Linked DNA regions of Rattus norvegicus. The protein of the gene in region 1 interacts with the protein of each later gene in a biochemical or structural test. Links are inferred from orthologs where the notes say so. Each region holds a gene or a part of one and is shown in the gene's direction. Other genes may lie near its edges.

The links.
Region 2: the proteins of Frmpd4 (region 1) and Dlg3 interact in a test that uses a peptide from one of them, tested with the Homo sapiens proteins (2 studies listed by IntAct, with this or other methods). The link is inferred for Rattus norvegicus from reciprocal best matches to the Homo sapiens genes FRMPD4 and DLG3.

Annotation. Positions count from the first base shown.
Region 1 is NC_086039.1:30,365,444-30,369,257, forward strand, and holds part of Frmpd4 (FERM and PDZ domain-containing protein 4), read left to right. Parts: intron 1-2,771; coding exon 2,772-2,861; intron 2,862-3,403; coding exon 3,404-3,586; intron 3,587-3,814. UniProt on the Homo sapiens protein: Positive regulator of dendritic spine morphogenesis and density. Required for the maintenance of excitatory synaptic transmission. Binds phosphatidylinositol 4,5-bisphosphate.
Region 2 is NC_086039.1:69,898,464-69,903,062, forward strand, and holds the start of Dlg3 (disks large homolog 3), read left to right. Parts: upstream 1-1,539; 5' UTR 1,540-1,884; coding exon 1,885-2,241; intron 2,242-4,599. UniProt on the Homo sapiens protein: Required for learning most likely through its role in synaptic plasticity following NMDA receptor signaling.

The DNA of each region.
Region 1 (3,814 bases):
AGGCCAGTTACTGTATTCATTACATTAGGATTATCTCCCAGGGAGCTGTTGACATTTGGTAAGAGGTTGTTCCTTGCTGAAGCATAAAGGTGTTGGGCTGGACATTGCGAGATACGAAGCATCCTTGATCTGTACAGGACAGGTATCAGTGTCACTCCTTCCTTAATTATTATTAAAAATATGTCCACATATTGACATGGATGCCCTAAGGAACAAAATCTCTACCATCACCACTGATAACCATTGGATTGAATCCAATTTTGGAAAGAGAAGGATAAGATTTCCCTGCCACTCATCATTAGTGTTAAAATATTTGTATTCATTTCTGTTTTTATTAAGAGAAGCACAAAGACCATTTAAAAGTATTCTGTTGTTCAGAAAAAAAGAAAGGCGTGGTTTAGAAGTAATAAAAGAACAAAGATTCCAGTAAGTACAGAGACAAGGAGCCTTAAATCTCTGTGCCTATAAAATGAGAAACAACCTGAGTACACACTAGAGCTGATATAAAGTAGAGAAACTTGTCTGACCTCAATACAAATCACCATCCATGTAGGGAGTTCTTTGGTCATGGTATCCTATTTTCAGTCATTTTTATAAGGCTTCACCCCATAAACATTTTTTGAAAGATATAACCAAGTTCAATACACTCTTGGCCACATTCTCTTTCTTAGTTTCAATGGAAAATGTCCGCTATCACCTCGCTGTGAGCACCCAGCTTCATAAAAATAGAAAGATACCATGGGTCAATACTTTTACACTTCCTAGGGCTGGGGAAATGGCTCAGATGGAGAACTGCTTGCTACACAAGCGGGAAGACTGAATTCAATTCCAGAGCCCAAGCAATGATGCTGAATGTGCTGGTTAATACTTATAATCCCGGTACTAGGAGATGGACCCAGGCTTCCTGGAGTTCACTGGAGCTCACTGGGGCTCACTGGCCTGCCAGCCTTAGCTTACTTTATGAGCTTCAGGACTATGAAATACCTTCTCAAATGAAGCAAGGTAACTGGCTCTTGATATCCTTATGTAATATCCTCTGTCCTCCATGCACACGTGCACTCATATACATCCCACACTCATATATATGGAGAGAGATAGAGATAGAGAGAAAGAGAGAGAGACAGAGACAGAGACAGACAGAGACAGAGACAGACAGAGACAGACAGAGACAGAGACAGACAGAGACAGAGACAGAGAAACAGGCAGACACACACACACACACACACACACACACACACACACACATATGTTTTATAGTTTTTGTTCTCATTTCCCCAAAATCGATGTCTGTTAAGTAGTTTGACTTGATTTTTTTTCAGGCTTGGTGGCCTAGTCTTATGATAATTAACAACTACCAATATTAGTTCATTCTTTTATCTATTATATACCCATATGTGTGTGCACGTGTGCATGTGTATGTGCGTGTGCGCATGCATGCGTGTGGGGTGTGTGTGGGGGGGTGGGGGGGGGTGTGGGGGTGTGGGTGTGTGTGCGCGCGCATGTGCACGCTTCCTACTATAGCATTTCCAGCCAATAAAGTGGTTGGCTTAAATTTTGGGCGTTTTTGACAAGATTTCGGGTGAATGAATGGTGAAAAATCATCACTACACAGAAGATAATATCTCTTGTTATAGATAGAAGGGGAATTGGAAAGTCATACGTGAGTGAAGAAATTTTTCCAGTCTTTACTGTTTAATGGTGATTATTCATACCTTGTTGAAAATTCACCTTTGATAAACATTCCTTATGCATTCAATATAAGACAGGTACAGATTCTAATTAAATTCCTCATTTTTAAATGACACGAAAGCCTCCATTTTTGAAGTCTCTATAAAGATCCATTTTGTCTAGATATTTGTAGTTCATCAAACTCCATAGATTCTCAGAGTTGCATTAACAAAACCAGAATGTTCATAGAAAACTCAAACCACTTCACTGTGATTGGAGTTCAGAAAGTTCATTCACCCTGAAACTCTGAAAAGGGTAGAAGAAACTTGAGATGGGAGGTGTGCAAGGTTGCTTAAAAGATTTGCAAAGATCTCAGGCAGCCCCACAAATTCTGTGTGCAAGTGAGTCTCCTATGTCATTAGAGAATTTACACTCAACACTCCTTTGTCTCTAATCACAGTCAGAAAGTGTCCCTTACCTATTGTAACCTTTCAGTGAGCATACATTTCCAGAGAGTAATATCTCACTTATTGAATGGACTGAACCATGTGTCTATACTCATGCACCTACCTCAACATCTTTCATCACACACACACACACACACACACACACACACACACACACACACACACACACACATTCACACTTCTCTTCCAGAAGCAGCAATAAGATTTGAATCTTGGTGTTACATTTCAGTTCATTATCCCAAAACACAGGATATAGTAATATATTGCCTTCCTGCTGAAGAGTCTTTCTCATACCCCATCTCCCTAGCAATAAAAGCATCCTTTGCGGGTGGAGGTGCAACTCAGTTGGTATTGAACCCAGAGCACTGGATTCTACCCCAGCACTGCATATACTGGGCATGGTGCCACACACCAGTAATTCCAACATTCCAGAGGTGAAGGCAAGAGGATCAGAAGTTCATGGTCATCCTCAGCTAACTAGGAAATTTGAAGATAGACTAAGATACATGAAACAGTGTCTTAAAACATAAAATAATTTGGTTCACACAGTGACAAATTGTCTTGTACCTTTATTTCCACAATAGAAAGAGTCCCACACAATGAAGCCCACATTTGAATTTTCTTTTCTTTCCTCAGCTCTCTGCACTACAAGCTAAGGTCCACTATCTCAAGTTCCTCAGTGACCTGCGACTATACGGGGGCCGTGTGTTCAAGGCAACATTAGTGGTAATTGCATTTTCTTTCTTTCTGTCTGGAGCCAGAGGCTGGCCAAACATCACAGCACAGCACAGGCTGTCTTCAAGGAGTTGCCCTGGATGATAAACATAAAGAAGCTAGGAATCTTTCCTTGTTTTCAATACTAACCAACTTCACCACAGTCTGGAGATACCTTGAGAAATGTTCGATCTAAGTAGCATTGCTGTAGAAGCCCTGGGGGAAAAATGGAATCAAAGGACTCTTAACAATGGTGCCTTTTCAATCACTGAGATAGAAAAGGGAGGGGGACACTTCTCACTTCTAAAAGCTTTTGATGTGCATAAATATATTGTATAATGACTACATTTACTTTCTATGTTATTCATCATTTATGGGCAACCCTATATACTCATATCTGAGTCCACCTAATTGGATGATTTAATGCAATATAACCCAGAAAAACTTTCCAAAGAATACATCATGATCTTAGGAAAAGAGTCACTCAGTCTGAGATTTAGATGATGCTTCAAAAGTCCTGAACCTTGAAATACTCTGTCATTCTCTTTCCTTAGCAGGCAGAGAAGCGCTCAGAAGTGACTCTTCTGGTGGGTCCCCGGTATGGCATAAGCCATGTCATAAACACCAAAACCAACCTGGTGGCTCTTTTAGCTGACTTCAGCCATGTCAACAGGATTGAAATGTTTACTGAAGAGGAGAGTTTGGTGAGGGTGGAGTTGCATGTGCTCGATGTGAAGGTGAGCCTTTCGCATGGTGACCCATGGCACTGCCTTCAGCAGTTCATTTCTGATAGCTCTGATAGTACTCATCATGCATGAAAGAGTTAATGTGTGCATGGCCTCACAGATGCCATTTGGTTAAAAAAAGTAAATAATAAATCCATACAACTCCTATCTAGGTGTTCTAGTCCTCATTAGATTGCTGTCTCATTTGGGGACAGGTTATTATATTTCTTTAGGCACAGT
Region 2 (4,599 bases), about 40 Mb from region 1:
ATCTCTCTATATCTGGGCGATGCATTGGAAGATACCACTCCTATTGAGGGTCCGTTCATCTGCCCTGGAAATGCCCTCACAGATATGCCCAGCGTGTATCTTCTAGGTGATTCTAATTCTACTTAAGTTGACAATCGTGGCCAGTTATCCTAACTCTATGATTATCTTTTCTTCGTTGCACTCGCTCACGTTTGTCTACATCCTCTCGTTAGGATGTACGCTCCCCAATGTCAGGGACTTGTTCTGTTTGTTGTGTCTTACTGTTCTATTACTACAGTCTAGAACAGTGTTTCGCATGAACATCTGTGGAATTAAGCCTAAGTCTCTATTCACAACACCCATGTAATGGCCTTACACAGGTTAAGTGCTCAATAAATGTTTGTAAGATTAAATGGAGACCTGAAATTTGCAGGAGAACTGGGAGCATGGATTTGAGTCAATTGGCAAGAACTTTCGTCTTTCGGTTATGCTACCTAGCTGTGTTAGCAGCACTGAGCTTCCAGTTGTTGTTGGTAGAATGGAGGTACCTTTAATCCTGCCTTGACAGACATTTTTGTTTGCACTTCAGACTTCGTAATGATTCAGTCATGGTCTGCTAAAGATAAAACAAGGATAGCCACAAAAAGCTAGCCTGGGTGACATTTGTAATACCACCATTCAAGTTGTTGAGGCAGGATGATCACTCTGTCTCCAAAAAAAAAAAAAAAAAGATTCTTATGATTATCTTTGCCCTCCCTTCCAACAGCGAGAGCCAGGGGAAGCTAAGCAGACCTCCTTCAATAGGTATTCTTGGGTGCTTTACCAGACCCACAGAATTGGCTTCTTTCACTTCAGATCTTTTCTTACCACTTCCTTGTACCTGAACTCCCTTTCTTCTTAACATTTCAAGTCTCTTTTCCCTAACATAACCATGGAGTGGAGGCAGAAGTGTCAGAGGCAGGCGTAAGTAGTTTTCTCCTATTGCCGCTTCTGAGGTTAAGTCTCTCGCTGGTGATGTAAGAAAGGTCGACTGTGAAAGATAGTCATTTCTGTCAGGGCCTAGGGAATGAGAGAACAAAGGTCCTGATCAAGAGCCGCTCACAGACCTGGATGCTGTCCTTTTCCTTGGTCCCCTGCAGGAGGCAGCACTTCTCGCACCCTGCCCAGATGCCCCTTTGGTCGGTTCTGTTGCTGCCTTTACTTCTGGTGGCCCTAGCTTAGAGCAAGCTTAGGGACCCATTGAGCATCTCACTGCAACTCCCTCTTGCAAGCGGGGCGGGGTGGAGTGGCCAGAGGACAGCCTGAAATTGACAACACAAGGACACAGGATCGCAGGATCATCCTCTTCAGCTTTCTAATGGCCCAAATCTCAGCAACCTATACTAGGATCGCCAGTAACCCCAGAGAACAGGGGAGATGTGTCTGAGCCGGGGGGCGCCTCTGCTTCTGTTTCTTTAAGGAGCCGCTGTTTAGCATTCCTGCTGCTGCCGCTGCCGCTGCCTGACTCTGCGTTCTGATTGGCTGGAATCAATTGAGAAGGGAGCCAGGGAGAGATGCTCTTGACTCCACTCAGATCCATCCTGGGGACCTGAGCAGAAGAGGTTCTCGCCGCACCTAACCCTTGCCTGGGAGCCCGATTCTTCTTTGCCGCTGGGCCTCGGCCCAGAAGCCACAACGGGCGACACGGAGCCGCCAGTGCTGGAGGGGGAGCCATGGGTGCGGGGCAGCGTGGGGGCAGAGGCCCCGGGACGCCCGCCGGGCCCCAGGCCCCGCTCCGCCCGGGCACCCCCACGGGTGCCCCCCCCTTCTTGGTCTGAGCAGTGCGAGTGTGCTAGGGAGCCCAGCGGCGGCGGCGGCGTGGAAACTGGCGTGGGCTGGGGGGTCCGAGCCGCGGGGGGCAGTGCCATGCACAAGCACCAGCACTGCTGTAAGTGCCCCGAGTGCTATGAGGTGACCCGCCTGGCCGCCCTGCGGCGCCTCGAGCCTCCTGGCTATGGGGACTGGCAGGTGCCGGACCCCTATGGGCCAAGTGGGGGCAATGGGGCCAGCTCCGGTTATGGAGGCTACAGCTCGCAGACCCTGCCTTCACAGGCAGGGGCTACCCCCACCCCTCGCACCAAGGCCAAGCTCATCCCCACAGGCCGAGATGTGGGGCCAGTGCCCCCTAAGCCAGTACCCGGCAAGAACACCCCAAAACTCAACGGCAGTGGCCCCAGCTGGTGGCCCGAGTGCACCTGTACCAATCGGGACTGGTATGAGCAGGTAAGGACCGGCGGATGAGGAGGAGGGGAGGCTGGTGGGACAACCCAAAGGACTAGGAATTGGGGTCTAGGAAGTCTGGGGAGCAATAGAGGTTGCTGGGGTTCCAAGTCTATGGATCTGAGCCTTAGCACTGCAGCTGACCAAAGAGAGACTATTGAAAATACATGTTTCTTCTATGTGTGTCTGTTTAGGGGGTCTCCATTTGGAGGGGATTGGGAGGAGCTGTTTGTATCAGGGGGTGATGGTATGGCGGAGGGGCACATTTTCTAGTGTGGGGGATTTGGGTTTGTCTCAGTGCAGGGCGGGGGGTGGCAGTGTCTCTGTGTCTGGCAGGGGGCGGGAGGTTCTGCGGGGGTTGTATGTGGTGTGTGTCTCCATAGGAGGGGAGGAGGGGGCATGGTGCTCTGCGTGGGGGGGACATATGTGTTTGTATGTATGTTGGGGTGTGTGGAATAAAGCAATGGAGCTTGTGTGAATGTATGTAGCAGAGCCCATGTGCCCAGATGGCCAAGCTTCATCTCTCCATACCATGAGTCCCTCTCCATCGCAGTCCCTTTGTGTGTGAACGTGCACATGGATATGTGAGGATGTCTCTGAATGTGGAGGTGTCTCTGTAGATGAGGCTGCAGGGATAGCTGTGTTTGCCTGAGGGTGTCTCCATGTATATGTGTGTGAGCATGTGGCTGCAAGAGTGTACACGTGTGTGTGTGTGTGTGTGTGTGTGTGTGTGTGTGTTGTCCCTGATGAGAAGCGCTTGACAGGCAAAGGTGGGGGGGGGGCAAGACACGTCCCAAGCAAGGCTGAGAGGCTGCTGAGAAGGACAGACTCTTTTGTCCAGGCTGTTCTGAAGTGTGTGTGTTGCGGGGGGGGGGGGTAGGGGGTGTTAAACAAGCCTTCTTGCTCCAAAGCAGGCATATTGCCTGGAACTAGGCAAAGGGTAGCTGCCCTCATGCAGGGTCTGCCCTGAGTAGGGCATGGCCCTTATAGGTACACACAGATGTGAGAGAGCTTAGCTTCCCAGCTCTGATTTGGCACAGCTTGGGAGCCCCTGGGTGCTGGGCACAACTCCGGCTTCCACTCCCAGCCTGAACTGCCAGCTTAGAAAATGGAAGGAGCGTCTGTGGGAGAAGCAGCAAAATGGAGGCTGGGCCAGCAGAGCCAGGTCTCTGGCACGCATGGCGGAGGGCCTGTCTAGTTCTTCAGTTCTGCAGCCCCCAGGGTGGAAAGAGAGGAGGAGAGGCTTTGCTCTCTGTGGCTGGTGCTGACTGCCCCAAGCTGGTGACCATTCTGGCCACCCCTGTCCTCTTCAGAGAATAGGATGTGCTTTTTACCTAGAAGCAAAAGAGGGGGATTCTTGGACATAGGAATCCTCCTTTCTGAATGTCTGTTTGTCTATACCTCTTCCTATGTCCCTAGTCTTGGTTCCTTGCCCTCTCCAGTGAGTCTCCTCTTTTTTGCCCCTCCCTTACAAACACACTCTCATACTTGGCCTGCCCAGTGGGAAATAGGTGCTAATTCCAGGGCTGGGCCCGTTGGGTACCCTATCTTTACCCAGGCTGATCTTTGGATGGCTCCTGACCCTAGAGGCAAGGTCCCTGAGTGGAAGTGGGACTAGAGCTAGAAGGTGGATTACTGGGAGCTGGAACCTCTAGGTACCACCCAAACTAAGCTTGAAGCACGGCTTGTCACATGTGGAGCACCCATGGTACCCTAGGTACATGAAAGAGCTGCATGGGCTCTTTTTTGCTCTGAATTGGTTGTATTATACTTCAGTTGGCTGTATTGGTTTGGGGGTCTCTGAAGAACCAATGATTTTTCTCCTGGGACCAGGGTGAGGCTGCAGCTGAAGTCCTACTCACTGCCTCCTTAAGACCACAGAACATAAAGGAGGAGATAGGGGAGGCATGGCTAGTCAGCACTCTTGAAGCCAGTGCCGCAGAGAATGAAGGTGGGAAGGGGGAAGCAGAGCAGAATGTGTTAGAAGAGCCTTCACCCTGGGTTTCCAGCTGCTCTCTTCTGGGGCCAAAACTTAAGAAAGGTATAACACAGCCAGAGGAATTTGGACCAGTGCTGGGACACCTGGTGAGAGAGACAAGGAGGTTCCTTCAGTCTTGAAAATGATTATGGGAAGGAGGGAGCAGGTGTACATGTCTGTGAAGAATCAAATTTCCACTTGAACAATGGCCACAAGTATGTCCTGTCTGGAAGGCAATGTCTATTTGTTGCTGAAAACAACCTGTGTTTTTTTGAACCCCTCACTGGCCTGTATTCCCATGGCTACTGTGTGCTAAAGATCACAAATTCTGCTTCTACTGTCTATGGGTCATCAGGTTCTCTGTCATGGGGAATTTTGTCTAC